Linked DNA regions of Struthio camelus. The protein of the gene in region 1 interacts with the protein of each later gene in a pairwise test. Links are inferred from orthologs where the notes say so. Each region holds a gene or a part of one and is shown on either strand. Other genes may lie near its edges.

Region 1 (10,374 bases):
CGGGACGTAGCTGTGGGTCAGTGGTGTCCCAGAGTGCAGCGGGACGTAGCTGTGGGTCAGTGGTGTCCCAGAGTGCAGCGGGACGTAGCTGTGGGTCAGTGCTGTCCCAGGGTGCAGCGGGACGTAGCTGTGGGTCAGCGCTGTCCCAGAGTGCAGTGGGACGTAGCTGTGGGTCAGCGCTGTCCCAGAGTGCAGCGGGACGTAGCTGTGGGTCAGCGCTGTCCCAGAGTGCAGCGGGACGTAGCTGTGGGTCAGCGGTGTCCCAGAGTGCAGCGGGACGTAGCTGTGGGTCAGCGGTGTCCCAGAGTGCAGCGGGACGTAGCTGTGGGTCAGTGGTGTCCCAGAGTGCAGCGGGACGTAGCTGTGGGTCAGCGCTGTCCCAGAGTGCAGCGGGGCGCAGCTGTGGGTCAGCGCTGTCCCAGGGTGCAGCGGGGCGCAGGTGTGGGGCAGCGCTGTCCCAGGGTGCAGCGGGGCGCAGGTGTGGGTCAGTGGTGTCCCAGAGTGCAGCGGGACGTAGCTGTGGGTCAGTGGTGTCCCAGAGTGCAGCGGGACGTAGCTGTGGGTCAGTGGTGTCCCAGAGTGCAGCGGGACGTAGCTGTGGGTCAGTGGTGTCCCAGAGTGCAGCGGGACGTAGCTGTGGGTCAGTGGTGTCCCAGGGTGCAGCGGGACGTAGCTGTGGGTCAGTGGTGTCCCAGAGTGCAGCGGGACGTAGCTGTGGGTCAGTGCTGTCCCAGAGTGCAGCGGGACGTAGCTGTGGGTCAGTGGTGTCCCAGAGTGCAGCGGGGCGCAGGTGTGGGTCAGCGCTGTCCCAGAGTGCAGCGGGACGTAGCTGTGGGTCAGCGGTGTCCCAGAGTGCAGCGGGACGTAGCTGTGGGTCAGTGCTGTCCCAGGGTGCAGCGGGACGTAGCTGTGGGTCAGTGGTGTCCCAGGGTGCAGCGGGACGTAGCTGTGGGTCAGTGGTGTCCCAGAGTGCAGCGGGACGTAGCTGTGGGTCAGTGCTGTCCCAGAGTGCAGCGGGACGTAGCTGTGGGTCAGTGCTGTCCCAGAGTGCAGCGGGACGTAGCTGTGGGTCAGCGCTGTCCCAGAGTGCAGCGGGACGTAGCTGTGGGTCAGCGCTGTCCCAGAGTGCAGCGGGACGTAGCTGTGGGTCAGTGCTGTCCCAGAGTGCAGCGGGACGTAGCTGTGGGTCAGCGCTGTCCCAGAGTGCAGCGGGACGTAGCTGTGGGTCAGCGCTGTCCCAGGGTGCAGCGGGACGTAGCTGTGGGTCAGTGCTGTCCCAGAGTGCAGCGGGGCGCAGCTGTGGGTCAGCGCTGTCCCAGAGTGCAGCGGGACGTAGCTGTGGGTCAGCGGTGTCCCAGAGTGCAGCGGGACGTAGCTGTGGGTCAGCGCTGTCCCAGAGTGCAGCGGGACGTAGCTGTGGGTCAGCGCTGTCCCAGAGTGCAGCGGGGCGTAGCTGTGGGTCAGCGGTGTCACAGAGTGCAGCGGGGCGCAGGTGTGGGGCAGCGCTGTCCCGGGGCGCGGGTGTGGGGCAGGCCCCGGTGGGGGCGCGGCGGGGGGCCCGGCCGGCCGGCGGGGCGCTCAGCCCGCTCTCCCCCCAGCCCATGGAGATCTTCGTGGACGACGAGACCAAGCTGACGCTGCACGGGCTGCAGCAGTACTACGTCAAGCTCAAGGACAACGAGAAGAACCGCAAGCTCTTCGACCTGCTCGACGTCCTCGAGTTCAACCAGGTGCCGCGGCCGGGGGGCTCCGGGGAGGGACCCCGCGCCCGGGGGGCTCCGGGGAAGGACCCTGGAGCATCTCGGGGGGCTCTGGGGGGACCGCGGAGCCTGAGAGAGCTTCAGGGGCTTCAGGAAGGGACCCCAGGGTGTCCTGGAGAGTCTGGGGGGGCTCCAGAGAGAGACAGTGACGTCCGGGGGGGTCTCGGGGGGGTCCAGGGAGGGGTCCTGATGTCCATGGGCAGGTTGGGGGTCTCCAAGGAGGGACCCGGGCGTCTGAGGAGGGTTTCGGGGCTCCAGGAAGGGGTGCTGGGGTCCAGGAGGGGTGTCAGGGGCTGGGGGGACTCCGGGGGGGACTGCAGAGCGTGAGGGATCTTCAGGGGCTTCAAGAAGGGACCCCAGGGTGTCCTGGAGAGTTTCGGGGGGCTCCAGAGAGAGACTGTGATGTCCAGGGGGGTCTCGGGGGCTCCAGAGAGGGGTCCCGATGTCCAGGGGGGTCTCGGGGGTCTCCAGGGAGGGACCGTGATGTCCGGGGGGGTCTCGGGGGGCTCCAGGGAGGGGTCCTGATGTCCAGGGGGGTCTCGGGGGGCTCCAGAGAGGGGTCCCGATGTCCAGGGGGGTCTCAGGGGGGCTCCAGGGAGGGACCTCGGTGTCCAGGGGGGTCTTGGGGGGCTCCAGGGAGGGACCTCGGTGTCCAGGGGTGGGTTGGGGGGCTCCAGGGACGGGTCCCGATGTCCAGGGGGGTCTCGGGGGGCTCCAGGGAGGGACCCGGGCGTCTGAGGAGGGTTTCGGGGCCCTGGGAAGGGGTCTGGGAGTCCAGGAGGGGTGTCAGGCTGGGGGGGACCCCGAGGTCCGCGGGGGGGGGGGGGGGGCCGTCTCTGGGGACGGGCCCCGGCGTCCGGGACCCCCAAGTGACCCCCCGCCCGCCCCCCGCAGGTGGTGATCTTCGTGAAGTCGGTGCAGCGCTGCATCGCCCTGGCGCAGCTGCTGGTGGAGCAGAACTTCCCGGCCATCGCCATCCACCGCGGCATGCCCCAGGAGGAGCGGTGCGCCGGGGGGCCGGGGGGGCCGGGGGGGGCCCGGGGGGGGGCCCGGCCTCCCTGACACCCCCCGCCCCGTCCCCCCCAGGCTCTCGCGGTACCAGCAGTTCAAGGACTTCCAGCGCCGCATCCTGGTGGCCACCAACCTCTTCGGGCGGGGGATGGACATCGAGCGGGTCAACATCGCCTTCAACTACGACATGCCCGAGGACTCGGACACCTACCTGCACCGGGTGGGTGCCGGGGCCGGGCGGGGGCCGGGCGGGGGGCCGGGCCGGGCGGGGGGCTGACGGCGGCGCCGCCTCCCGTCGCGCAGGTGGCCCGGGCCGGGCGCTTCGGCACCAAGGGCTTGGCCATCACCTTCGTGTCGGACGAGAACGACGCCAAGATCCTCAACGACGTGCAGGACCGCTTCGAGGTGAACATCAGCGAGCTGCCCGACGAGATCGACATCTCCTCCTACAGTGAGCGGGGGGCCGGGCGGGGGGCCGGGCGGGGGGCCGGGCCGGGGCCGCCCTCACCCCGCTCTCCCCCCCCTCCAGTCGAGCAGACCCGATAAGCTGCCCGGCGCCCGCCGCCCTCCCGCCCGGTTCGCGTCTCCTCGTTCCTCCCCTCTTCCGACCGTCCGGCTGCCGAGGGAGCCCCCGAAACCGCCGACGCCTGCCCGGAGGGGGGCCCCCGAAACCGCCGCCCTGGCCGGGAGGGGGCCCCCGAAACCGCCGCCGCCCGGACGCAAGAGGAAGCGGGGAGGCCCCGCCCCGCCAGCCGCCCCCCCCCACGGCTGCCGCCGCCTCCCCGCGGCGCCTCCCCCGCCCGGACCCGGGGGGTTTTATAGAAAAAAGGCCTGAAAAGACAAAAAAAAAGAGAAAAAGCCCGAGCTCGGCGGGGGGCGGGGGCTCCGGAGGGCCCCTCCCCCCCGGGCTCCCCTCAGCTGTACAATTTCTGGTTTTTTTGGTAATAAAGTCGCCCGGCCTCGCCGGGTCCCTGGACGCCGCTGTCTGCCTCGGGGGCGGGGCCGCGGGAGGGGCGGGGCCGGCGGGGCGGGGCTTAGCAGGGCGGGGGTTGCGGTGGGGGCGGGGTCGCGGGAGGGGGCGGGGCTGAGGGAGGCGGGGTCCGCGCAGGCGGGCGGGGAGCGAAGCCGCGGCGGCCATCTTGCGCGCGGGCAGCGCCGCCATCTTTGAGGCGGGCGGGCCGAGGGGGCGGGGCCTCGGCGCCGCCGCTATAAAGGGCCCCGCGGGGGCGGCGCGCGGCCTCTTCCCGCCGGACGCCGGGGAGCCGCGGGCAGGTGGGGGGCGCCCGGACGCCTGGGCCCCGCTGTTGGGGGTGGGGGGGAGCCGGGACGCCTGGGCCCCGTTGTGGTGGGGGGGGGGGAGCCGGGACGCCTGGGCCCCGTGGAGGGGGGGCGCCCGGACGCCTGGGCCCCGTTGTTGGGGGGGGGGGGAGCCGGGACGCCTTGGCCCCGTTGTTGGGGGGGGGGGGGAGCCGGGACGCCTGGGCCCCGTTGTGGTGGGGGGGGGGGAGCCGGGACGCCTGGGCCCCGTTGTTGGGGGTGGGGGGGGGGAGCCGGGACGCCTGGGCCCCGTTGTTGTGGTGGGGGGGAGCCGGGACGCCTGGGCCCCGTTGTTTGGGGGGAGGGCGGGACGCCTGGGCCCCGTTGTTGGGGGGGGGGGGAGCCGGGACGCCTGGGCCCCGTTGTTTGGGGGGGGCGGGGAGCCGGGACGCCTGGGCCCCGTTGTTGTGGGGGGGGGGGGAGCCGGGACGCCTGGGCCCCGTTGTGGTGGGGGGGGGGAGCCAGGACGCCTGGGCCCCGTTGTTGGGGGGGGGAGCCGGGACGCCTGGGCCCCTGCCCCTTGGGGCGTCGCCATGATGATCCCCTAGACTAGAGTCTCCGACCCCCCTGACGACCCCCCCAGCCTGAGCGACGCCCCCTCCGTCCCTCCCCCTCCCCGGACGCCTCAGTCCCTCCCCCCCCCCCCGTTCACCCCTCTCTCTCTCCCTCCCGCAGGTCGGAGCCCCCGGACGCCTGGGCCCCCCCGGCTGCGCCATGGGGTGAGGATTCCCCCCCCCCCCCGATCCCCGCGGGTCCGGGGCGTCGCTGTGATGATCCCCCCAGACTAGAGTCTCTGACCCCCCCTGACGACCCCCCCAGCCTGAGCGACGCCCCCTCCCTCCCGCCCCCCCGCCGGACGCCTGGGTCCCTCCCGTTCGCTAACACCCCCCTTCCCCCCCCCCCCGTGTGTCTCGCAGGAGCCCGAGGCCCGTCGGCACCGGCATGACGCGGTGAGTGACCCCCCCCCAACCGGGCCCCCCCCGGGGCCCCCCGGCGATGAGGAACCCGCACCGAGGCCGATCCCGCCGTGACGACCCCTCGCAGCGCCCTGAGCCGAGGCGGCCCCGGGACCCCCCCGTTAACCCCCATTACTCCCCCCTGTTACCCCCCTGGTGACCCCCCCCGGGACCCCCCTGTTCCCCCCCGGGATGCCCCCATTACCCCTTCCAGGACCCCCTTGTTCCCCCCCCCCGAGACCCCCTGTTACCTCCCTTGGGAACCTCCCCATCCCCCCCCCCGGGACCCCCCCGTTAACCCCCATTACCCCCCCCCGGGACCCCCCTGTTCCCCCCCCGGGATGCCCCCATTACCCCTTCCAGGACCCCCTTGTTCCCCCCCCCCAAGACCCCCTGTTACCTCCCTTGGGAACCTCCCCATCCCCCCCCCGTTACCCCCCCGGGACCCCCTTGTTCCCCCCCCCCTTGACGCTTCTCTTTCCCCCCCCCCCAGCCGCGGCCCGGAGCCTGCGAGGGACAAACGGCGCCCGTGTCGCAGGGGGGAGGGGAGCAGCTGGAATTGGGGCAAATAAAGCTGATTCTGGGTCTGGATGCGGCCTGGTGGTGTCTCTTTTCGGACGGGGGGGCGGGGGATGCTCTGTTTACATAGCAACAGGGGGGGTCGCGCGGAGGTGGTGGGGGGGGGTTCCCGCCTTTTTTGTCCCCCTTCCCGACCGGTGGGGGTGGCCATGTCGGGTGTGGGCAGCGCCGCTACCGGCCGCCATCTTGGGTGAGGGCACCCCCGCCCCCCGGCCTGTTTATTGTCGGGGCTCCTCAAACCGGGGGGCAGCGCCCCTTCCCCCGCCCCGGGACCCCTCCTTTGTTTTTATTTAAATAAACACGGATTTGGGTGAGAGCTGGCCCCGTCAGTCGGGGGGGTTGTGCTCCTGTAACACAACGGGGGCCTCGGCTGCTCTGCCCCCTCCCCCCCGGGCACAACATGGGCCCTGCCGCGGGGTGGGGGGGGCACCAGCGCCATCTTTACGCTCGGGCCTACCGCAACACACGGGGGAGGGGGCGGGAAACGGGCCCGGCCCGCAGCCAAGATGGCGGCGCCCTCAGCCAAGATGGCCGCTCTGCCCAGGGCGCAATCGCCAAGATGGCGGCCGCCGCGGCTTCACTCCCTCACCCGCAGCGCGCATGCGCGAAGCAGCGAGGCCCCCCCCACCCCCGTCCCGGCTGGGGTGGCGGCGGCGGACGCCTGCTGAGCGGCGCAGGCGCGGCGCGGGCAGCCCGGCGCGGCGGCGGGGTCCTGCGCGGCGGCGCGCATGCGCGGCAGAGCGCGGCCGGGCGGCGCGGCCGGAGGCGCACGGAGGAGCCGCTCCGCACCGAGCGCGGCCCCGCGGCCCCGGCCCGGCCCCGGCGGCGGCTCCGCGCCCGCCCCAGGGCGCGCCCAGCCCCCCCGGAAGCCGACCCGCTCCCCCCCCCGCCTGCCCCGGAAGCGGATCGCGCACCGAGCCGGAAGCGACTGCCCGCGGAGGCAAGGCGCCGCCGACCGGCGGGGGGTGAGGGGCGGCGGGCGGGGGTCAGGAGCGCCGGCCTGCCGGTTTGCGGTGGGAGTCGGGGCCGCGGGGGTCAGGGGTCGGGGTGGGGTGTAGGCCGCGGGGTCAGAGGTCGAGGGTCAGCGTGGGGGTGGCGGGGTCAGGGTCGGGGTGGGGTCAGAGGCTGGGGGTCGCGGGGTCGGGGGTCAGGGCAAGCGTTGACCTCTGGGGTCGGGGGGTCAGAGGTCAGAGTGAGGGCTGACCCCCAAGGGTCAGGGGTCAGGGTGAGGGGTGACCCCGGGGGTCAGGGGCCGGGGGTCGGGGGCCAGGGCGAGGGCTGACCCCGGGGGTCAGGGGCCGGGGGTCGGGGGTGAGGGCGAGGGGTGACCCCGGGGGCCAGGGGCTGGGGATCAGGGGCCAGGGCGAGGGCTGACCCCGGGGGTCAGGGGTCGGGGGTCGGGGGCCAGGGCGAGGGCTGACCCCGGGGGTCAGGGGCTGGGGGTCGGGGGCTAGGGCGAGGGCTGACCCCGGGGGTCAGGGGCCGGGGGTCGGGGGTGAGGGCGAGGGCTGACCCCGGGGGTCAGGGGTCGGGGGCCAGGGCGAGGGCTGACCCCGGGGGTCAGGGGCCGGGGGTCGGGGGCCAGGGCGAGGGCTGACCCCGGGGGCCAGGGGCTGGGGATCAGGGGCCAGGGCGAGGGGTGACGCCGGGGGTCAGGGGCTGGGGGTCGGGGGTGAGGGCGAGGGGTGACCCCGGGGGCCAGGGGCTGGGGATCAGGGGCCAGGGCGAGGGGTGACGCCGGGGGTCAGGGGCCGGGGGTCGGGGGTGAGGGCGAGGGGTGACCCCGGGGGTCAGGGGTCGGGGGCCAGGGCGAGGGCTGACCCCGGGGGTCAGGGGCTGGGGATCAGGGGCCAGGGCGAGGGGTGACCCCGGGGGTCAGGGGCTGGGGGTCGGGGGTGAGGGCGAGGGGTGACCCCGGGGGTCAGGGGCTGGGGGTCGGGGGCCAGGGCGAGGGGTGACGCCGGGGGTCAGGGGCTGGGGGTCGGGGGTGAGGGCGAGGGGTGACCCCGGGGGTCAGGGGTCGGGGGCCAGGGCGAGGGCTGACCCCGGGGGTCGGGGGCCGGGGGTCGGGGGCCAGGGCGAGGGCTGACCCCGGGGGTCAGGGGTGAGGGCGAGGTGTGACCCCGGGGGTCAGGGGTGAGGGCGAGGGGTGACGCCGGGGGTCGGGGGTGAGGGCGAGGGGTGACGCCGGGGGTCAGGGGCTGGGGGTCAGGGGTGAGGGCGAGGGGTGACCCCGGGGGTCAGGGGTGAGGGCGAGGGGTGACGCCGGGGGTCGGGGGTGAGGGCGAGGGCTGACCCTGGGGGTCAGGGGCCGGGGGTCGGGGGCCAGGGCGAGGGCTGACCCCGGGGGTCAGGGGCTGGGGGTCAGGGGTGAGGGCGAGGGGTGACCCCGGGGGTCGGGGGTGAGGGCGAGGGCTGACCCCGGGGGTCGGGGGCTGGGGGTCGGGGGCCAGGGCGAGGGCTGACCCCGGGGGCCGGGGTCAGGGGTCAGCGCTGCGGCGGCGCCATGGCGGAGGAGCGGCTGGAGGTGCTGGTGAAGACGTTGGACTCGCAGACCCGGAGCTTCCACGTGGAGCCGGAGGTGAGGCCGAGCCGGGGGGTCCCCGCATCCCCGCCCCCCCCCCCGGCCCCCCCGTGACCCCCCGCCGCCGCCGCCCTCCCCCAGATCACGGTGCGGGCGTTCAAGGAGCACATCGCCGCCGCCGTCTCCATCCCCGCCGAGAAGCAGCGGCTCATTTACCAGGGCCGGGTGCTGCAGGACGACAAGAAGCTGCAGGAATACAGTGAGGGGGCGGCGGGGGGGGGCCGGGCAGCACCTGGGGGGCGGGTTGAGTTTGGGGACCCCTTGGGCAGGGGTTGGGGCATTTGAGGGGGTTTGGGGGTATTTGGGGAGCCCTGGGGTGAATTGGGGGGTTTAGGGGCCCCTTGGGCAGGGGTTGGGGCATTTGAGGGGGTTTGGGGGTATTTGGGGAGCCCTGGGGAGAGTTGGGGGGGTTTAGGGGCCCCTTGGGCAGGAGCTGGGGCATTTGAGAGGATTTGGGGGTTTTTGGGGAGCCCTGGGGCAAATTGGGGGGTTTAGGGGCCCCTTGGGCAGGAGCTGGGGCATTTGAGGGGGTTTGGGGGCATTTGGGGAGCGCTGGGGGGAGCTAGGGGGGTTTAGGGGCTCCTGGGGCAGCATTGGGGTCATTTGAGGGCAGTTTTGGGGGGGTTTGCAGAGCTGCGGGGTTAGTTAGGGACTTCAGGAGCTTCTTGGGTGGTAGTTGGGGCATTTTATCGTGGTTTTGGGGGTCTTGGGGGAGTTCTGGAGTTTTCTTACAAGAGCTTAGAAGTTTTTGGGGGTAATTGGGGTAGTTTGTGGGAGTTTGGTGGCTCTTAGGAGCGATTTGAGGTTATTTAGAAGAGTTTAGGAGCCATCTAAGCAGCAGTTTGGGGGTGGATGGTCGTTTATGGGGGGTTGGGGGACCCTTGGGCAGCATTGAGGGAGTTTGAGGGCAGTTTTGGGGGGTTTGGGGAGCCTTAGAGTTAGTGGGGGGGTTGGGGGCTCTTCAGGCAGCATTTGGGGGGGGTGGGGAGCTGCGGGGCAGGGGTTTGGCTGACCCTCTCCCCCCCCGTCCTTTCTTCCCCCAGATGTGGGGGGCAAAGTGATCCACCTGGTGGAGCGGGCGCCCCCCCAGGCCCAGTCGCCCTCGGGGGGGGGCCCCTCGGGGCTGGGCTCCTCCTCGGCCCCCCACAACGGGGGGGGCCCCCGGGGGCCGGGCGGCCCCGGCCACGACCGCAACGCCAACAGCTACGTCATGGTGGGGACCTTCAACCTGCCGGTGAGCCGGGGGCGCCGGGGGGGCTTCGGGGGTCTTCTAGCAGACGGGGGGGGTCGCAGCGCTGATTTTTGCTAATTTGGGGGTTTTTTTTTCTGATTTATTCCGCCGCGGGGGTGGCAGATTGACGGCTCGTCAGTGGACGTGCACATCAACATGGACCAGGCCCCGATCCAGGTGGGCGCGGGGCGGCGGGGGGGGGCCGCAGCGGGGCGAGGGGGGGCCGAGCCCCTCTCGCGGCCCCCCGCCGCGGCCCCTGACCCCCGGCCGCCCCGCAGAGCGAGCCCCGCATGCGCCTGGTGGTGGCCCAGCACATGCTGCGCGACATCCAGGGCATCCTGAACCGCCTGGAGGTGAGCGGACCCCCCCTGAACCCCCCTCCCCGCAGCCCCCGGCCCCCCCCCCTCACCACCGCGTCCCCCCCGCCGCAGGGCAGCAGCGGGGCCCCGTCGCCCGCCGAGGGGCCGCCCGAGGAGCCCCCCGCCGCCCCCGAGCCGCCCGCCGAGCCGCCCGAGCCGCCCGCCGAGCCGCCGCCGCCCGGCCCCGAGCCGCCGCCGGCCCCCGAGGCCGCCCCCAAGTAAGGGGCGGGGGGGGGGGACACGCCGCCGCCGTCCCGAGCGCCGCGGGGGGCCGTTCTCAGCCCCCCGCCCCCGTGTCCGTCCCCCCCGCAGCCACCCGGCGCCGGGCGAGTACCTGGAGGTGCTGCTGGAGCTGCGGCGGCTGGAGGGGCGGCTGGAGCCCTTCCGGCAGCGCTGCCAGGAGATCCTGGGGGCCGCCGGCTCCGCCGACTACAACAACAACGTGAGCCGCGGGGAGGGGGGCTGCGTCCGTCCCCCCCCGTCCCGGGGCGATGGGCTGGTCCCAATCGGTCCTTGGGCACGCCCTCCCCCCCCAATCCCAGGGATGGTGCAGTCCGGGTCCCCCCTGTCTCCTTAT
Region 2 (10,086 bases), on another chromosome or scaffold:
TTAAATAGCTGGGTGTTTGCACCCTACGCTACCCCCCCAAAAAGAGTCCAGACTCTCCTAATGAAACAGCAACAAACAGGGAATTACAATATGGGCTAATTACAGCGTCACTGTCACTTAGGAAGAATTAAATGGAAAGTTATTACTAATAAAGTCTGGGATTCACACCACACAGACTTTAAGGAGCCACAAGAGGGTCATTCTGCAACACAGAATACCAGAATTTTATACTCCCACGCTCAACATTCATTACAGAAAGCTACTGCCATATTTCTAGCTTTTAATACTGAAGACTGTATATTTTATAATAAACAGTCTGTGTATTCAGATGCAGGAATCCTCAAGAGTTTGCTACTGTTGCTTTTCTCAAATTCTCAGTGTTAGTGAATAATTTATACTTCATGATCACACCATCAAAGTGAGAAGAAACTCAGAACGCTTAAGAACACGAAAGGAAATTACTTCGCTTTTCAGCAGAATGTGGTCATTACGCTTGACAAGAAATAATGCCATACAGCACAGCAGAGCTGGAACAGGAAGTAACGTATCCTGTACCTAACTTGAACCGAAGTTAAGGTGGAACAGTTAGTACGGGCAAAACATAACTGCCCCAAACCCTGGACAAGACAAAGGACCCAATTCTGATAAAGCTAAACTCAGTATGATAGAGGTTTAAGAGCTTCTAAGAAAAACAAAACCACCACAACAAAACCAAAACAACCCACCACCACCACACTGGTTCCCTTTACTATTTCTATGTTCAAGATTGTAATATGCCCTGAAACAAACTTAATGGATTCTTGGAAAGAGGACAGGATGGAAGTCACGTGAGTTTATTTTGATAAAATATCTGGATCACTCTTCAAGCCAATGCAGAAAAAAATGATGAGAACCAAGCAAAGCACAGCAGCACTGGTGATCCACTTGATACTGTCCCTGCCTGCCCAGGAAGATAAGGAATTAGCAGAGCACCATCCAGTTATTCGTCCTAGAAAAGGACTTATGGAAGCTGCCACTCCCTCTTCCACGCAGAACTCTTTAGATCTGCGGTTGTGAAATAACTAGGTCTACAGAATTTACACAATGTTTGATTTCAAGAACATTTCTACACCATCCAAACTCCTCTCAGAGATGGCTATTGGCACACAAGAACAGCTGTGTAGATTACAGAAAGTGAAATCAATTTCCTCTGCTTTTGAAATAAGCCCTTACTATTTTACTGAACATTTTAGCAGCACACCACTGGGACAAATTATTATGCTAGCCACACTTGAGAGAAAGAAGTGATTTACTCCTCTCAACTCTCCTATGTAAGGGAGACTTTTTTTGCTTACAGACAACTCTGAACATAGTGATCAGCAAATTCTTTTGCAGCTGGAACAGCACAAATGTCAAAGTTTGCTGTTTCTCAGACTGTTTGAATCACTTCTTCTGCAGCATATGCCATGACACCGCCAATTTAGTAACTCAGTCTGCAGTCAGCAGGAGGAAACCAAACTAACTTGGATCCTAAACAAGTTCATTGACTATCAATTAACTAAACCTGAGTCTACAACAAAAGTTGTCTGCTCCCTAACACAGTTCAGTACATTTGCTACCAGATGTGCTCTGCTGGTGTAACCAGCACGGTGTTTAAACAAGGGTGAAATAAGAGAGGGTGTTTAAACACAGATAAGTGACCAGTGTTCCTGGGATTCAGGCTTCAGCTCCTCAGTCACTTTCTCAAGCCAGTCTATTTATTTAGCAGGAGCATATTAACAGTTTTGTCCTCATACTTAAATACAACGTGTTAGATGTTGGTAGATGGTAAATACAAGTTGTTACTATCAAGGCCTGCCTTCACCCTAACCAGTAAAACTGATCAAGGAGGCGAAAGGAAAAATATCATGTCACAAAAACAAATTCACAGTGAAGGCTAATCAATCATTCCATCAGAGAGACATCTTTAACTCACAGTTAAGCTATCGCTTGACTTTAAAAATGAAATAAATGTTAAAATAGAAAAAAGAGTTATTCTTTATTCTAATAAGGTGCCAACAAATTTCTCAGGACAAATAAAGACTCTGTATAAACAAAGGCAGGGCTTGTTAACTTCATAATCAGATTTAACATCTTACAACATTTGTTAGACTAGCAACAGAAAATCTAGTCATGATCAACACAATCAGTTACTTTCCAACAGCCAGTGTTCCTTTTCTACACTTACCAGGAAAATCTGAGTCTTTACCAGTAGGCAGCAAGGTTTTGACTCAGTGATTAAAGCACACCTGTTCAAGTACTGCTCCTAGCCTACGAATGCTTCTGCGTTAGTTAGTGCAAATACCGTGTACGTATCACTTGTGTATTTGCCCACTCCTGTGTCTTAGCAATTATCACCCACGAAGCTTTTCTCATGTTTAAACCATACTGAAAAGATGACAAAAAAAGAAACCCTCCCATTATCCCACAGAGATTCAGTTCATTCCACACAAAGAAGTGGGATAATGGTGTTTTCGTAGTTTGGAGAATTGTCCCAAAGACAACCCTTTCAGGCAGTTGGAGATGCACTGGATGAGAAAGGCCCATGGACTTGGATGGGGAAAGGCTGCTAGAAGGGATTACCTCAGGAGAGCATCCTACCAAATTTGCTTTAAGACAGCTTTTGGTTAGTCCATCTCTCTTTATAACAGATATCTTTACAGCACACACTAAGTAAAACACCGCAGCCCCCCAACAAACAGGCCTGGTGGGACCCCCCCCAGCAGCACCCACCACCCCACTGCCCTGCTCCCTGCAAAGCCCTTCCCGCTCTCTCCATCCAGACCTCCCTGCTGCCTAGGAACCTCCGCGCCACCTTCCTCTACATCAGGAAGAGGAAGAGGACACCCACTGCCGTGCTTCCCCGCGCTCCTCCAGCACACCCCGTCTCTGGCTTCACCAGCTGCTTTTCTTTGGCCCGAGGGGGCCCCACAGCCCCCTGCTACCTCCAGGCAGCCCCCCACAGCCTCCTCCCAACTCCGTCCTGTTCCCTAACTGCCACATGCCTCATCTTGCCTCACTCCGGGGCTCCCCTCTTCCCTCGCTGAGGACTACGCACCAGAGCCACCACCCCAAGTCCCCCTCACACTCAGAGCCCCCCAAACTCTCTGAACCCCTGCCCCATAACCCCTACCCCACCCAAGCCCCTGCACACACAGACCCCCCTCCTGAGCTCCCACCCCCTCTGAACCCTCACCCCTGAGCCCCCCTCACACACAGACCCCCTCCTGAGCTCCCACCCCCTCTGAATCCTCACCCCGAGACCCCCCACACACAGACCCCCCTCCTGAGCTCCCACCCCCTCTGAACCCCCACCCCTGAGACCCCTCACACACAGACCCCCCTCCTGAGCTCCCCCCCGAACCCCCACCCCTGAGACCCCCCCCACACAGACTCCCTCCTGAGCTCCCACTCCCTCTGAACCCTCACCCGAGACCCCCCACACACAGACCCCCTCCTGAGCTCCCACACCCTCTGAACCCCCACCCCTGAGACCCCTCACACACAGACCCCCCTCCTGAGCTCCCACCCCCTCTGAACCCTCACCCCTGAGACCCCTCACACACAGACCCCCTCCTGAGCTCCCACACCCTCTGAACCCCCACCCCGAGACCCCCCACACACAGACCCCCTCCTGAGCTCCCACTCCCTCTGAACCCCCACCCCTGAGCCCCCCTCACATAGACCCCCTCCTGTGCTCCCACCCCCTCTGAACCCTCACCCCTGAGACCCCTCACACACAGACCCCCTCCTGAGCTCCCACACCCTCTGAACCCCCACCCCGAGACCCCCCACACACAGACCCCCTCCTGAGCTCCCACTCCCTCTGAACCCCCACCCCTGAGCCCCCCTCACATAGACCCCCTCCTGTGCTCCCACCCCCTCTGAACCCCCACCCCTGAGCCCCCCCACACACAGACCCCCCTCCTGAGCTCCCATCTCCTCTGAACCCCCACCCCTGAGACCCCTCACACACAGACCCCCCTCCTGAGCTCCCCCCCTGAACCCCCACCCCTGAGACCCCCCACACACAGACCCCCCTCCTGAGCTCCCACCCCCTCTGAACCCCCACCCCTGAGCCCCCCCACACACAGACCCCCTCCTGAGCTCCCCCCCTGAACCCCCACCCCTGAGACCCCTCACACACAGACCCCCTCCTGAGCTCCCACCCCCTCTGAACCCTCACCCCTGAGCCCCCCCCACACAGACCCCCCTCCTGAGCTCCCACCCCCTCTGAACGCCCACCCGAGCCCCCCTCACAAACAGACCCCCACCCCTGACCCCCCCGCCCCCTCGGAGCCCCCTCGTCCTCTCACACGCAGGACCCCCCCCCGCCCCGCGGGCCCAGCCCCTCCCCAAGCCGCCCCCCGCCCCCTCAGGCCTCACCCCCACGTGCCCGAACGGCCGGGCCCGTGCCCAGCCCTCGCCCCCAGCCCGGTCCCGGCCCCCCAGCGCCGCGCCGGCCTCGGCCAGGCCCCCGTCCCCACTCACGGGCAGGCGCGGGGCGATCTCGGCCGAGCAGCAGTGACAGAAGAACCGTCCCGGCTGCGGGGAAGCCTCCGCCATCTTCCCACCCCCCCCCCGCGCCGCCCCGCCCCGCCCCGCCCGGTGACGCACGGCGCAGGCGACGGCGGCCGAGCAGGGACGCAAAGGGCCCACGCAGAGGGAAACGCGGAAAAGAAGGGGCGGGGGAGGGCAGCGGGGGGAAGGGAGGGGGGAGCCGCTCCGGGGAGGCGTGGCGTGGAGGAGGGGCGGGGCTGGGGCGATGGGCGGGGCTGTCTGGGGGCGGGGTCAGTGGGGGTATATAAGGGGCGGGCCCGGGGGTGGGCTGTGTGCCGTCGCCATTTTCTGTGCGTGTGGGGCCTGTTGCTGGTGGTGCCCCATAGCGCGCGCCCCCCCCCCCCCAAGTTCTCATGGCAGTGGGGCCCTGGTGGGGTCCCTGTGCACCGTGGTGTGGGTCTGGGGCTGCCCCCCACCCCATGGGGGTCGGGGGCCCCCCTCCCTCGGCCTCCCATGGGGGCCAGGCCCGGTCCCACCTGGTAGGCCGCGGGGCCTGGAGCCGCTGCCCGGGGCCCTCCGAGGGGAGGGGGCAGGCGGGCCGGGACCTGCCGGCCGCGGGGCGCTCCGGCTCGAGCCCCGTTTCGGGGCGAGGTTTGCAGGCAGGCCGAGCTTGCTCAATCCATTCGGGGACCGCTTGGGCCGTCGCCCTCGCTGGCGCGGGAAGGCGCTGGCGCCCGGGGCGTGAAGCTCTGCCCGACTTCGTGGAGTCACCCGGGAGATAAAGCGGCCTCCGAAGCTTCCCAGGGAAGGCCGCGGCGCCTGGCGCGTGACTGCGCAGCCGAGGGCAGTCCGGCGTCGCCGAGCCCCGGCTCTCCCTGCGCGTTCCTCGCCCTCTCCTCCCGGGGGGATCTTGCCTGGGTAGAGTCGGAGCGCTCTGGGCAGTTGCCTGGTTTTTCCATGCCCCTCGCAGCCCGGTTGTGGCAGGATCAGCACGCACGCAACGAGGCTGCCAGCGGCGCGCACCGGCGTGCTCTGTGCCGGACGCCCTTTCCGCCCGGCTTCCCAGCCGGAGCAGGTGCAAATCCCACGCCGTGCCAGCGACGGGTGTCCTGGCGAGGGTGCCGGGTCCTGGCCGCACGGAGCGTCGGTTCCAGCCTGTTTGTCCGCTTTCACCCGTCTGCTTTTCCGTTTCCATGGAAATGGCAGATGCTGGCCTGAAACTGAATCCGGTGCTGCCATTTGAGCGATGGCCAGCGCCTGGGGTCAGGAAGCTCAGGGAGGAAAATGTCATGCTGCAGTTACTGATGTTTTGCAAAGACAATTTATCGAGCGGTTGCTGTGCATCGGGTCCCTGCGAGGAAGAGCTTGTCCCTCTTGGTCTGTGTCTCTTGGGCTCGGGAGTCCCTTGTGCCAAGTATTCTTCGCAGAAGGAGGAAAGAAATATTAATTGCATACTCAGATCCCTGTTTCTTTAACCGATAAACCCCAAAATATTTCTGGGGCAGCTCTGAAGCGAGTTTCCCCCAACATTGCCTGTCTGGCATGCTGTAACATGACACTGGAATGGCTCTTTCTAGGAGAGGGAAGAGGGCTGGGTCTTCACAGAGCGGCCAAGCTCAGTGGCCTCACTTCCGGGAGGGGAGAGGTTGCAATCCCCAAAATGAAGAAATAAATGTTTTTTCAGTGAAAATTCAAGAATTGCTTAAAAAAATAGCAATAACCAAAACAGGGCATGAATTTTCCATTTCACTAAAGATCTCTCAAATGGTGCTTCCTATCAGATCTCCACCTTGCTTTTGCCAAGGGATTGGCAAGAGCTGAAGATGTTTCAGGAAAGCTGAAAAGTGAAGTTTTATTTTGGGGGATTGTTTCTTCCTTGGCTGCCTTTCTTGGGGCCCCTGTCTAAGCAATAAACCAGGGATCCAGAAAACCCTTGGGCAGTGCAAGCACTGCGACACGTGCTCGCTTTGGTGGGGCCAATGTGGTCTGTGAGGTTGTGGGGTTGCAGGGATGTGGGGTTTGCAGGGTTGCAGGGTTTGGGGGTTTGCAAGGTGGTGGGGTTGCAGAGTTTTGGGGGTTGCAAGGTTGCGGGGTTGCAGGATGCCCGCCAACCCACTGCACCAGCCCTGCTTCCAGCAGATGGCATCTTCGGCCCAGGTTTGCTTTTCTTGCTTTTTTTTTTAGGGGATGAGAGCAGGCTGAGGAGGCGTTTTGTGAAGCAACTCTGGACTCTGAAAAGCAAAGCCCAGGAAAACCCTCTTCTGCGGGTTTACTCGCTCCACATCGATAAGTACAGGTGTAAAAACAAGAAGCAAGGGCTGGGGTTATGAAGCTTTAACCTGGCTACTGATAGGAAATGGTCGTATAACGGCTTGGTAACTGGTCAGCAGTTTCTGGAGCTGTTTAGTAATTGTGTAGAAATTTCAACTGCAGGACAGATTTGCAGTTGTTTAGTAACTGATCAATGATGCAGCTGTTGATAAGAAATGTTAGCAACGATTTGTGACCAATGAGGAAATCTGCAACTCTTTTTTTCTGCAGGAGGTGGGTCTAGACAGTTGGACGTGGTTCAATCCGAAAGCCAGACGGAGCCGCGCGGCTGCCCGCAGAGCGGAGCCCACAGCCCCAGAGGGAGCGTTTCACACCCCGAAGGAAGTTCCCTCTGACGCTGAGGCCGTGCACTGCACTCGTTTCTCCTTGCTCTGTTTCATGGTCTGAAGACAAGTTGCCACTTGATCAAATGGATGTGGAATGAGGAGGGAGAGATCTGGCTTCCCTGACTTTGTCCCTGTGGAATTCCCTGACGCGGGAAGTGCGGACGCCCGAAGGGCAGCGCGTGCGCTCGGATGCAAATGGCAGCGATCGCTAACGCACGTGGAGACGAGGGCTCTCGCGGCACCTGCGATCCCGCTCCACGGCGGGACTCGAGGCTGATCCGCGACGGCGCGCCTGGGGCGGACGCACCTCTGTCTCTGCCGCAGCTCTGGGAATCGGGTTTTGGGCTGGTGCTCGGCTCTCCACGGCCTGCCCAGGCTCAGAGGGAGCCTGGATCTGATCGGGAGCAAATTTGAGTCACCCGAAGAAGCCAGGGGCTGGGATGATTTTCCCACGGTGCTGCAGAAAGACGCGAACTGCACCCTGTTCAGAAAGGACTGACGAAGAGGTGACACCTCCCGAGCTAGCAGCGATTCATCGCCAGGCAGAGCCTGCTCCCCCAGCAGCCGGGCCGGCAGCGCCAGCACCGCTCAGCCACAGCAGCGGGGAAGGAGGGAGGGTTTTGGCCGAGGGCAGCAGAAAATACCAGGAGCCTGTCGTTGTCCAAGGGGCTGGACGGGCTGAAAGGCTTCTCCGGTAGCTGGGCGTCATGATCCCGCTTGACCCCAGCGCAGGAGGGCGATGCTTGTGCCCCATGACCGGGCTCAGGGAGAGGAGCCCGTGGGTGGCTGAGGCTGGGGGCAGAGGCTGGCCGGAGCGGGAGCCCGCGTTGCAGCAAAGCTGGGCAACCCGGTGCATCTCCCAGCCCCGGCAGGAGGAGGGGAGCGGGCGGGAGTTTCACGTGGGAGCCGTCCAAGACCCCCGGCGCCCGCCCGCCCCGGGGCAGGGAGCGCCTCGCCGGCAGCGCGTTCCCGGGGCCCCGCTCCTGCCCGCCAGCCGCCCTTGCCACTCGCATCCACCCGGGCCGTGGGTGTTAACGATGAGCTCATGTCCCCAGACGTTACTTAATGCAGGCGATGCCACCGTGCCAGGCCGCTGGCGGGGGGTGGCTGCGGGCCCCGGGCTGCAGCTGCCGGGTGGCCGCCGGCGGGGCCCTGCGTGTGCGTGCATGCGCGCCCCGAGCGCCCACTGCGACGGGGAAGCCGGAGCGCCGTGCGGCCAGGCGCGCCCCGTGGCGCCGGCCCAGCGCCGCGGTGCCCTGCCAGCTGCGTGGGGTCCCGTTTACGTTATGCGGAGGTGGTTAGCAGGCAGCGGAGCCCCATCGCCGGGGCCTTCCCCATGCAAGCGTGCCCTGCAGGGAGTAACAAAAGCTCGGGATAAATTCTCCTGACTCCTAGATTTGCTGACATGAGATCTGCAGTGTTTAGATAAATCCCAGACATGCAGATGTTATTCCACATAGACATCACACTGCACAGACGTGTTCCCCGTGGCGCTCCCTCCCTGTCTGCGCTGCGCTCGCCCTGCTCTGCCGGAGCCCGGGGTCTCTTGCTCACGTTCCCTCTCAGTGAGCACGGTGGGATGGATGGGCAGCAAGAGCCTAAAAAAGACCTGGCTTCCCGCTTCCAGCCTCCCTCATCCCTGCTTCCCGGGGCCGAGGGCAGCGAACGCTCTCGGCAGATTCCCGGGAGACTTTTTGGGGTTCGGTTTCCGTCTCTGCTACTAACCTCCCATGCGACTTTGGCAAGTCGTTTTCTGAGGCGTCTTGGCCTCTGGGCCCTGTGCTGTTAAATTAAAGTGATGCCAGGCATTAACCCCCCTCTGCCGGCCCGTCGCGCCGGCCCGAGGCGGACGCGAGGGCAGCTCTGCGCGCGGGCTCCCTCCCAGGCTCTGCCTCCCGGTCCTTGAAAGCACGAGCGCCTTTCCAGCACGCTTCCTGCCGAGTGGGAATAACTGGTGCAGCTGGTCTCCCCGCTCCCCTCCACCCCAGATAGCACATAATTGCCTATTTTAATTAATAAATTGGAGGCCACTCAAAGGAAAGCGGCAAGGTTTGTTACACACGCCGCAGGGATTGTCTGCCAGCCCCGAGCCAGTCATGTCACGGCGGATTTGAATCGGTCTCCCTTTGAATTCGCTCGCAGACAGATGAGAAGGTTTGCACCCCCCCACCTCGTCCTCCCCGGCGCTGCGCTGCCGTGCCGCAGGCCTGGGGCCGCGCGTGCGGGCTGCTGCGGCGGGGACGGCGGTGGCGCTCGGCCGCGGTCCGCACCACGCCGGCGGCAGCCCGCCTGCCTCCGGGAGCGCCCGGAGCGCGGGGCCTCGGCGGGAGAAGTTCTCGGTCCCAGGAAAGTGCTTTTGGGCTCCACCAAAAATTTCCCTTTTTTTTTTGTTGTTGTTGTTGTTGCTTTTTGGATTCCTCACTTTTCTTTTCTTACGCTTAATTTAAACCATTGTTTTTCAAGGGAAATTTTAATGTGAAAAACATGTTTTGTTTTTCTACTAGCTGCAAGCCTGGGCTATGTAAGCACTGAGGCTCCTTGTGCGGAAAGGGCGCTGGCCAGGCGGCCGGGGGCTCTGCGGGAGGGAGGTGCCGTGCGGCAGCTCTGCCCGTCGGTGCCCACACCGGGGACCCGGTCCCCGAGGGAGCGGGACGCCCCGGCCCCGCCAGGCTGGCCCGGCCGAGGCGGCGGTCGGCGGCGGCGCTGCTCGTAGCCGAAACGTCCCTCTTGCAGGTTGTTGTGCGCTGGGAGGTGGGGCTCCGCCGGCCGGAGCCCGTCCCGCCGTGGTCCTCGGCCACCGGCCCCGCGTCGCTGCTGCAGCCCGGCGGGCAGGGGCGGCCCGGGGCGCCCCGGCAGCAGCTCCGGAGAAGACCCCCCTCGGCAGGGGGGGCCCAGGCGGCGGCCGGGAGGG
Region 3 (10,507 bases), on another chromosome or scaffold:
TTTTTAATCCCTTTTCTAGGGAATTAACTGACACTTTATGGTTGACTATGAGAGATTTCCTCATTACTACCCTACAGCACAGGAAAGCTAGAGCAACTGGCAGTTTGGAATTACCCTTAGGGGTTGCTCATAGGAAGGAGGAGGAATCTGTCTGTATACAGATTGTATGGAAAAATAAAATAAGTTCACAGTATCCATTCAAAGCTTAAAATGCTGTTGGTTATTTCTAAGTAAAATTAAAAGCTGCAAGGGCCTGGGAGTGTGTCTGAACTAACAATGAGGCGATGTTAATGGCCGATCTCTGCTCTTTCAGCTCCTGTTTCAACTTCATTAAAAATAAAGATCCACTGAAAGGGTGAGAAGGCACCTTTAGCTGAGGAGATCTGGATTTGAATCACAAGTTTAAATGAACATTATGTTTTAAGCCTCTACATTTCTCCTGATATGCCAAGAAATATTTTTCTCTTTAATAGCATTTTGCTGATTGGAAGAACATAAATACCAGTGAGGATAGCGAGAGTAAGGAAAGTGCCCTAGGAAATCTCATCTGATTTTGCCTGCACTTTGGCAGCTCAAACCAGGCTGATCATCACAAGCATTAGAGCGAACTGCACCCTGAAATATCCTGATTAAGAAAATACATCCTGGACCCTTTTCAGAGAACTCTGGGTCTACACCATACAAAGACTGCTTCATCCATCCAGTGGGAGAGAACAAAGAGGCAACAGAATTAAGCTGCTGTATATTACCATGTACCAGATTTAGTCATATACATACCAGAATTTAAAGATCTTTTGCCCATAAGTCCAACAAAGGAGTCTGTTTTATGCCCTGAAAAAATATAATTGGAGTTGTTTTAATACATTTTAAATAGGCAGGCTTTTAAGACAGCGTGTTCTCATGAGGAAAGACGACACAGACACAGCCTGTTCATCTCACATACTAATTTTTCACACCACTCTCAGAAGACAGAGAATGAACAGTCCTGTCTCATCACTGGGGTAGGTCAGACCAAGGCACAGGCCAGTTAGTGGAATTCTTCCCATTGGCTTGAATAGACATTTTGTTGATTTTGTCTTTTAACCACAATAGAAAAACAATGGCCAAAAACTGATTCTCATTCCTCTCCCAGTGTGGCTAATTGACACTACAATTCCTATTGACTTCAGCACACACCTAAGAAGGCCATATCTTAGCATAGCTTGCATCCGTATGATACACCTACTCTACCTGTCGGTGGTTTATTTTGTTATGTGGATGAAAATCCTCATCACAGGCCAGGCAAGAGAGCCCTTATTTGAGAGGAGGCCAATGGGACTCTACGTCTGGACATGACTGAGCTGGACAGTCTGGGTCTATTTTTGGAATATTTACGAGTTCAAATATTACCATCCTGTCCCATTATTACTCCTCGAGGCACTGGTTATGTAGAGGATAAATTACTCCAAGGTTTGGTATGAAGCATGTATCAGATGTAGTGATAGCTAAGGACCAAAAAGGAGCTGTTCTTCTTTTTCCAGGCTGACTTGAGGTAAATTTAGAAATTTCTCTTTGGAAAGAATTTTGCTTGGCTAATGCATCTACAAAACAAGATGAATGATTTTTAGACCTCACAGGCATTAACTTTAGAGCTGAAGCAGTTTAAGAAGGCTATATATATGTGTGTATATATATATATATATTTTTTTTTTTTTTTACTTTAGTCAGCAGTTATTTGGCATGAGCTTTGGCTGGGATTCTCTTTCATTTTCCTTCAAATAAATAATCCTAGTGATAAAATCTAGTGATTAACAGAGAACACTGGGACATGTATTGACCTCTTGGGACAGCTGAGGTCTCACAAAATACAAGATCAATTTTTGCTTATTAAAAAATCTTCTAGGTCCTGTCTAAGCATCTTCAGATAATTTCAGAGAGTAAAACTCTTTGTCACTGTATGCAACAAGATAATACCACGTTGCTGATACCATCTTCCACTTGGTATTATACAGAAACAAAGCAAGACATGCTTATTAATGATGCAAGATATGCGTGTTTATATGTCAATCAGCCTCTGCTGCGATGGGGGTCTGATTCACAGTCAGACATCACTAAGATCACAGCTGCAGTATCTCACATGTGTATCCATGTCATCACTTCTCAGAGATTTGGGAATTCACTATTCTAATTTTCCAGCTTTTGCTGCCTTAATTTTCTCACTCTGAGTCTGGCAGTAAGCCTGCCTTGCCTATGAGAAAGGTTTGCAGAATGCACCCCTAGAGAAATAAGAGCTGCAACATTCACACACTAATGTGGATTGAAATCTGAAAGCTTGTGGAGGTTCAGATTAGGTACAAGCTTAAGTCCTTATTGCTGGCTACTCTATCTTTTGACAGAATACTCCTCTACCGCCTATGCTGCCGGCCCTTAGCTGAACTCATTTATATTCTAAACGATCCACTAAAATATACAATTCTCTATATGAATATCTTTTAATAGTTACTTAAGATGTTGGGGATTTTTTAAACTTACTTTTGTGAGAGATCTGGCCATATCCTGCATGGAAAAGAGGAGGAAAGAAAAAGAAAGGAAAGAGTTATTGAAAAAGGACTGGCATACACATATGCTGTTTCTGTGATCCTTTGAAATATCTAATACAGAAACTACCCTATGCATATTCAATGTAGGGAAAATTAAGGTGACAAATTACCACAGTATTTATTCTTGAATAGACTAGAAAGCCTCATTTCAATTAAAATGACACACCTTAGAGCTGTTTAGATCCAAGTTACTCTGACCGATTCTCAGTTTGGTAAACACTTAGAATTAGAAAAGATGGTGATAATTGTACACAGCATTACATGGCAGAAATCATACTACACGTGCTCAGACAATTTAGTGGCACGTATGCCAACCTACAGATTATTGTGATTTTTTTACTGGTATTTATTTACACGCTACAATTAGTTTGCACTTATAACTTTACTGCGCAGTTTTACTCTTGGCTATTTTCAATCGATCGTATTGTCTTCCAGGAAACTTGGGGTGGGGGAGAATCGCAACTTCGGAGCAAGATCTACCTAACGACGCGGGCGACATGCTATGACGCTGGGGTTGCTACTGGGAAAAGCGACGTTTGGAGCAGCGAGAGGCCGCGCGCAGGGAGGTGCCCCCCAAGCCCGTGCCCCGCTCACCGGCATCCCGTTTGCCCATGAGGCCGAAGAACTGCTGGGGCCGGGGTCTCCGGGCGATCCTCTGCAGGAAGTGCTCGAAGGGCAGCGGCAGCTCCTCCTGCGGGCGACCAGCGGGCGGTGCTCAGCGCAGCCCCGCGCCGACGGGGCGCCCCGCGGGCTGCCCAGCCCCAGCCCCGGCCCCGGCCCCAGCCCCAGCCCCGGCCCCGCGCCGACGGGGCGCCCCGCGGGCTGCCCAGCCCCGGCCCCGGCCCCAGCCCCAGCCCCGGCCCCGCGCCGACGGGGCGCCCCGCGGGCTGCCCAGCCCCGGCCCCGGCCCCAGCCCCAGCCCCGGCCCCGCGCCGACGGGGCGCCCCGCGGGCTGCCCAGCCCCGGCCCCGGCCCCAGCCCCAGCCCCGGCCCCGCGCCGACGGGGCGCCCCGCGGGCTGCCCGGCCCCGGCGCTCACCTTGCCCTGCTCGCCCTCGGACCAGTCGGACCAGTAGTTGAGGTCATCGGTGGCGCCGATCTCCTCGGCCAGCACCTGCGCCGAGGCCAGGAGGAGCACGGCGAAAGCCAGCGGCAGTCTCATCGCCGCCTCGACGTCCTGCGGACGGGCTGCGGCCACCTGCGGATGGGGTTTGGGGGGGGAGGGGGGGCAAGGGGCGAAGCGCCGTCCCCTGCCGGGGGACGGGGGACACGGCGCTCAGGGGCTGCGCGCAGCCCCCGCACACGCACGCACCCACAGCTACGCACGCACCTGGAGGTGCGCACCCTCGCACATGCAGGTATGCACACGCATCTAGCTATACACGCACCCCTTCGCACCGACAGGTACATATGCACCTAGCTGTACACACCCTCACACATACCTATATACATACGCCTCTAGTTATACGCACAGCCGCCCCCTATGCATACATGCACATATAGACGCATGCAGCTCCCCCTCACACCTATGGATCCTTACACATGTCGATATATACACCCTCACGCATAGAGATCCACACCCATCTAGATATGCACACACATCCAGGTTACCCCCCTCCCCGATACCTACTCATCTACTTATGCACACTATACATACAGCGACACCCATACCGGGTGTGCACACCTGCATATGGATACCTCTCTCCACACACGTACGGATACACACACGCCCTCACACGCCCAGATACACGCATCCGTCTAGACAGAGGCACACGCAGACACGCACACAAAGGCACCCTCACACGGAGAGGCGCACGCTCCGGGATACACAAACACACACAGAGGCACCCCCCGACACACACACATATAGGGGCACGCACACGTACAGACCCCCCCACACACATACACACGCATGTGAGTACACCCGCACACACCTTCACCCACCGACACGCGCGCACCCCCCTCCGGCCAAGCGCCCCGGCGGCGCGCACGGGCGCGGGCACACGCACCTAGCGCGGCGGGCGGGGCGGGCGCTGCTCTCCGTGCGCATTGGCCGTCGGCGGGCGAGCGCCCCACTTTATATACCTGGAGACGGGGAGGGCCGAGGGAGCCTCATTTGCCTAAACGCAATTACCCCCGGTTTTATCGTGCCAGCCACGTGACAGCGCCCGCCCCGGCGGGCAACCCCCGCCTCCAGCCCCCCGCTCCCGGGGAGGCGCCGCGGCATCCCGGTCCCGGGGAGGGGAGGGGGGGCGAGGTGTCCCTGCTTCCCCCACCCCCCGCGGTGGCAGCCCGGCTTCGGGGGGGGGGGCCTCCCCCCGCCCCTTCCCCCGCGGTCGCCCCGTCCGGCCGCCGCTGCGCCCTCCCCGCCGCAGCCGCCCCGTCCCCGCCGCGGGCCCCGGCGGGCGGCTGCGGCCGCCGCGTTTCCCTTCTGCCCCCCGCCCCGCTTTGGCTGGGGAAGCGCTGCCCGCTCGCAGGGAGGTGCTGCGGGGGGGGGGGGCGGGGGGCGGGGACGGCAAGTGGCACCGAGCTGCGCCGAGGTGGGGGCGGGAGGGGGGCGCCGCCAGGGAAAGGCGCGGGCGCGGCGGCGGCGGGCTCCGTGTCTCTGGGCGAGCTGTCTTAAGCTTAACCAGGCTTGCTGCCCGCTGCGTGAGGCCAGGAGCCAGCGCTGGCCCGGCTCGCGGGGAAGCTCCGCGTGGCACCGCGGATGAGCGCTGCGAGGCGAGGGGCACCTGGCCTGGTCTGTGCGGCGTTTGGGAGCGTGTGAGGGTGGGACGTGAGGCGGCGAGCACGGAGCCAAGCTCTCTGGTGGGGCAAATGCCTTTCTTGGAAATGAGCCAGTCTCCAGCAGTGAATCACAACCTTTCTTCTTCCCCTGCGACAGCTTTGTGTTATTGCTGGCATTCAGCTCGGATAACCGTTCAGGCACCTTTCCATTTCACACTCGTTCCATCTTATTAGTCCGAGGTTACTTGTGCAGGAAGCTTCTCAGTTGACCTTGGTGGTCCCGCAGCACCTGTGCTGTCAGGGTGCACAGTACTACTCCCTAGGTAAGGCACTTAGTGCAGAGTTTGGCAGGAGCTATTAGCTTTCCTTTGAGAAAGAAGAGATTCCTCAGGAGCTGGAATCAGCTCTCTAGCACCATCCCTCTGCTTGCTCCAGGATGCAACCATTAAGGTGGCCTTGCTGGCCATGGTAAACCTCCACTTCAGGGGTAGTTCATTGGCATATACCTGCTGATCCTATAGGACCCAGCACTTGTTTGCTAGCTAAAGGCATTATTAATTCCAGGTTTCCCTCTTAAACAAAAATGATTCTTGGTCCCCAGTGTATTCCCCAAGAACCAGCCAGGGAGGAGACTCTTCCAGACTCTCGGGGATGTTCACACTTTCTGCTTTAGGACTCTAAAGGCAGGTGAGAAAGGTTGTGGCCCAATCCTTTGAAGACCCTTCTGAAGTCAACACAGGCTCCTCGAGAAGGTGGTTCAGAACAAAATTATTAGTTTGGAGGAGTCTGCCTAGGGGTTCCACACAGCCCAAACACCTAATTTAGGCACCTCTGTTTAGATTCCTAGGGTGGGTGGTGTGAATGCTCCTCTTTATGCCTGTCAACAAGCTGGCAGAAGTGACGTTTAGTAGCACCGGGGAACTTCAGCCATCGGATTTTCGTGCTGTAGCTTTGCAGCATTCCTTTGATATGTGAACTTTGAAGACCCTCGAAGGAAAATTGTTTTCTCGTGTTCTTTCATTACACCATTTCTATTTACCATAATGACGACAAAGCAAAAGGTCAGATATATCAAACTAGGCATGCCAATTTTAGGCAAGTCAATAAAACTCATGATTTACAGAAATACTGAGAACTCCCAGCTTCCTCTGAAGTCAATTCTATCATCCAGGAGTCTAGGCTATGATAAGCATGATAAGTTTGAACTGAAATGTCCTTTTTGCTCCATAATTCAGCATTTTATCAACATGGCTGTAGTCATAGCTTGACCTATGAAATTACAGGGGTTTTCTTTTTAAGAGAGAGCAAGAGAGGAAAAATTAAAAGACGTGTTTCAGTCCTTTCTTGCCTTTAGCAACTTTAATGAATTCAAGCACTTTATCTCAGACTTATCTAATACTTTGGGTGGGAGTAAAAAAATGACTAATCGGGCAAGCTCACTTTTCTTTCTCGGTTTCTAAAATAAATTGACTGCTTAACCTTTCTCTGACCTGCAATAGTGGGACATTACACTATAGACTTTTTGGGAAGTGAGCAGCTTTCATGGCTAACTAGCAAAATTGGTTCTTAAGAAGACTTTCTGAGTCCGTCTTTCACATGGAGAGGAAGTAGCAGGCTCAGATAAGGGAAGTACACCTTGACTCGAAGTGGGTGAACCTTCTGCCTTTGTGCTGCCTAGTTCCTGCCCTGTGGATGCTTCAGAGCATGGTAAAATGCTATCCACACCTGCAAAAAGCCCTCACTTCTGCCAAAAACTGCTCCTGCCTCGCACACAAAAGTAAATGGCTTTTCAGGATGTTAGTGGTTTTGTATCTGGGAGTTACTTTGCAAAGAGGTATATGAGAGAGTGTGTGGGCAAAGGTGTCCCCGTTGAATAAGCTTGCCCTGTCCACACTCAGTGCACAGATCCTGCTCTCCAGTTGCAGTTAAGACTAATATGAAGATTTTTGTTCAGGAGCCGACAGTTCATTAGATCCAAGGTGATCTATGGCAGGGTTAAACGTTTCCTGTGGAAGTGACAGAGAAAGAAGTTTTTGGAGTTATTATCCAGGCGTTTCCCTAATCGAGTTTAGGAACTGGATTAAAGGCACTCGTTGTGGCTTGAATCACAGCCCTAATGGAAAACTATCTGGGAAGCAATTGGCTACGAAACACACCTCAGAGAATTGCTTTTCAGATGGTTTTAAAATGATACAGCCTGTGTGATGGTCCTTGTGAAATGTTTATTTGAATTTTATGATGATTTGGTTTTCAGTAGAAAGTCCAATAGTTTCATGATGAGACACATGGGCTGCTACACCATTATCAAGTGACTCTTATATCATCAACAAACAGCTAATATACTCTGGGAAAATAGCAAATTAAAATGTGACTATGTAAGATTTTGTGAATGCAAATCTGAATTATTCAAGTATATAAAATTTCAGAGCACCAGAGATAAAAAGAATGCATCTGGCATTGTTTGTCAATAGCTCTATGCTGTATAACTGTATGCTAGATAATTAAATATAGAGCCTAATTCTCATATATATTGAGATGTCTTTTCATCCCTTCACCTGGGTAATGGTATCTACATATAACAGAGACTCAGTCTCGGAACAGTTATTTTATATAGCTTCCAAAATTAGAGATGAGACGCAGTCTATGTAAAGACATCTGTAAAAAGACCATGTTTCAGCTCTGATTTCTGTCCTGACAAGAACATTGGAAGTGCTCTTATCAGAAGATGCAACTTTGTCATCATTGGAAAGAGAAACCATGATTGATGACCTCTTAAATTTCTTACAGATATGTGTCTCCGGGGTGAATAGAATGATTTCGATCGCAGATGAGGAGTCTTTGTAACACGGTGATTGATTTTGACATTGTAAGATAATTTATTGGCAAAACATCCCAGTGGCATTAGGAAAATTAGCAGAACTCACAACAACCGTTTCTAAGTTAGCGTGGCCAGATTACTGAATTACTCTTTCACCTGTATTTCAAATTTTACATTACAGATTTGTCAGCTTTAATTTCTTCCTTTAACGTTTCCAGAGCACATGCCTGTACATATTAATGCATGTAAACCATATGTGATAACTATGCCTCTGCCTGTCTCTCTGTCTATCTTTCAATAGAGTGAGAGATTATCTTTGTGCTTGTAAAGTCAGACACTACAGGGTCAATTCTATTACTTGCGGTAACAGACAGACAAGAATCACTGTAGCGAGATCTGCTTGCTACAGGGATGCCCTTTTCTGGGCAGGTACAGATGGAAGAAAGGCTAATCTTGCACTTACTCAGTCATCTCACAGTAACTGGAAATGTAACGTTGGTCATTGGTTCTAATTTCAGAAAGACAAGGTAATAGTCTTCCCCACTCCTCTGTTCCTTGTCATCTTTTACTCTCCCATCACCGTTCTCCATCCTGCCAAGCTGCCAATATCACTTGCATCTGACTTAGAGGGAGCATCATTAACCCTGACGCAAGGCACATTTTTGTCCAGCTAGGTTAGACATTCAGTTTGTTAGTGAGACAACCTGAAATGAAAATAAATTGCAGGGTATTAAAATACTGAATGTAAACATTGCAGTCAAGGCTCTCTTCCCAGACTAGCAGCGCTAGAGGCAATCGACAGAGAGAATAAATGTAGTCCGGCAGAGCTCCTTAGGGGAGAGAGAATGCATGTCCTTGGAGGAGAAAAACATTTACCCTAAGCTATTTGGTGATCTCAGAGAGAGAGCAAAGCCATCCCAAAGCACCTCTATGTGTGCCAGAGCCAGGGGGGAGCTGGTGAGGAGAAGCAGGGAGGGTAGCTCTGGTTGCCCAGGGATGCCTGCTCTTCTCTTCTCAGGGGCTGACCATCTGCCAAAGCCTCTGTAGCATTTGTAGGTTGATATTCATTCAGCCAGAACAAAATCAAAAAGATTTGGACATGCAGCTACTTGGAGATGCCTTGTCATAACTCGCCAAACAGTTTTGATAAGTAGCATGGAAGATGCAGTATTTACTGATTTTTAGTCACAAAGCCAACAGTGAACGACATTTCAACAGCACACTTTAGTAGCAAATGCTGCAGGGTAGTCTCCTCACGGAGACGGTGTCTGTCTCTCTAAACCATCAATCTAGTTTTTCCACATTTGTCTCCCCCAGACAGAAAGGCCAGGGGCAGCCACAAAGTGTGGCACAGAATATTCTCAGAAGCTCAAGCAGACTGTGAACATCATTGGTCTGAGCTCAACCAGAAAAACTGCAACGTGAAATCTCCTCACAATGCAAAGGACTCAGAGCAGCCAACGAGCAGACACTTCAGATTAACTGAGTTCATTGCTCTTGGAAGAAAAGTGCTGACATTGCTTTGTTCTGATGCAAGCAGAGACCCTGTTTGTCTCCTGAATACTTATTAGATTACAAACATATATATAAATCTGTTGATTTGATTCAGATTGAACTTTGCAGGTCTGGAGCTCTCACTCTTTGTTTTTTTGCCTCGGTTGTCTAAGTTTGTTTGAAAACTACAGTGATGTGGAAGGATAACGGGAAGACTGGAACTTACTTTATCAGCAGCTGAAGGCAACAAGCTGATTTTTTATCTAGTCCTACCACATTTTCAGTAAAACTTTTCTGTAGGAAGGACAATCTTTTCTCAGAAAGCCCTCAAAGACTAGGCTTACTAAATTTTGTGGATGGGTCATCAAAGCCAGTCCCTTAGCCTGCTCTCAGCACCCAGGTGATTATCCATTGTATCCTACCATCAGCATCTGCCGTCCTTAGGGCTGCTGCCAGCTGTCTCAGGTCACGGAGACATCAATGTGGAGGAGGACGAAGGGGAGGAGGGTTAACCAGCCCCGGTCCCAGGCCACAACAAATGCAGCAGCTGTTCTTGGTCATCTGGGAAACCACGGGCAGTTTCACTCACTTTCTTCCACCTTTTTCGTCCCTCTAAAGCGTGCCACAGCAACACTGATTTCCTTGGCACAAGGCTGGGTAGCCTTGCCTGCCTCCCTACTTCCAGACCTTCTCCAACAGAGAGTGTAAGGGTTATTTTGCACAGGGGCCTTCTGCTAATCCCCCACAACTTCCAGATGTTCAGTTGCAGCAGGAGAAAGGGATTAATGCTTCCCATGTCTGGTGTGATCTCAGATTAATTGAAACCGATTCTTAATTTGGGATCAAACACGTATGAATCATCCTCTATTTTACTCTGTTTTAGAAACTAG

What was found. The genes of interacting proteins can lie anywhere in the genome.
Region 2: the proteins of BAG6 (region 1) and RNF126 interact in binary tests that used the Homo sapiens proteins (3 or more experiments, as listed by UniProt). The link is inferred for Struthio camelus from reciprocal best matches to the Homo sapiens genes BAG6 and RNF126.
Region 3: the proteins of BAG6 (region 1) and TAC1 interact in a two-hybrid assay, tested with the Homo sapiens proteins (2 studies listed by BioGRID and IntAct). The link is inferred for Struthio camelus from reciprocal best matches to the Homo sapiens genes BAG6 and TAC1.

Annotation. Positions count from the first base shown.
Region 1 is NC_090977.1:57,928-68,301, reverse strand, and holds the start of BAG6 (large proline-rich protein BAG6), read left to right. Parts: upstream 1-6,438; 5' UTR 6,439-6,563; intron 6,564-8,107; 5' UTR 8,108-8,129; coding exon 8,130-8,204; intron 8,205-8,288; coding exon 8,289-8,406; intron 8,407-9,250; coding exon 9,251-9,441; intron 9,442-9,561; coding exon 9,562-9,615; intron 9,616-9,716; coding exon 9,717-10,015; intron 10,016-10,109; coding exon 10,110-10,239; intron 10,240-10,374. Other genes in the region: spliceosome RNA helicase DDX39B, read left to right, coding at 1,599-1,730, 2,655-2,764, 2,847-2,991, 3,075-3,222, 3,301-3,317. UniProt on the Homo sapiens protein: ATP-independent molecular chaperone preventing the aggregation of misfolded and hydrophobic patches-containing proteins.
Region 2 is NC_090967.1:7,561,428-7,571,513, reverse strand, and holds the start of RNF126 (E3 ubiquitin-protein ligase RNF126), read right to left. Parts: upstream 4,728-10,086; 5' UTR 4,585-4,727; coding exon 4,510-4,584; intron 1-4,509. UniProt on the Homo sapiens protein: E3 ubiquitin-protein ligase that mediates ubiquitination oF target proteins. Depending on the associated E2 ligase, mediates 'Lys-27'-, 'Lys-29'-, 'Lys-48'- and/or 'Lys-63'-linked polyubiquitination of substrates.
Region 3 is NC_090943.1:29,672,721-29,683,227, reverse strand, and holds the start of TAC1 (protachykinin-1), read right to left. Parts: upstream 4,728-10,507; 5' UTR 4,588-4,727; intron 4,560-4,587; exon of another isoform or gene 4,513-4,559; intron 3,829-4,512; exon of another isoform or gene 3,777-3,828; 5' UTR 3,741-3,776; coding exon 3,618-3,740; intron 3,271-3,617; coding exon 3,174-3,270; intron 2,536-3,173; coding exon 2,512-2,535; intron 832-2,511; coding exon 778-831; intron 1-777. UniProt on the Homo sapiens protein: Tachykinins are active peptides which excite neurons, evoke behavioral responses, are potent vasodilators and secretagogues, and contract (directly or indirectly) many smooth muscles.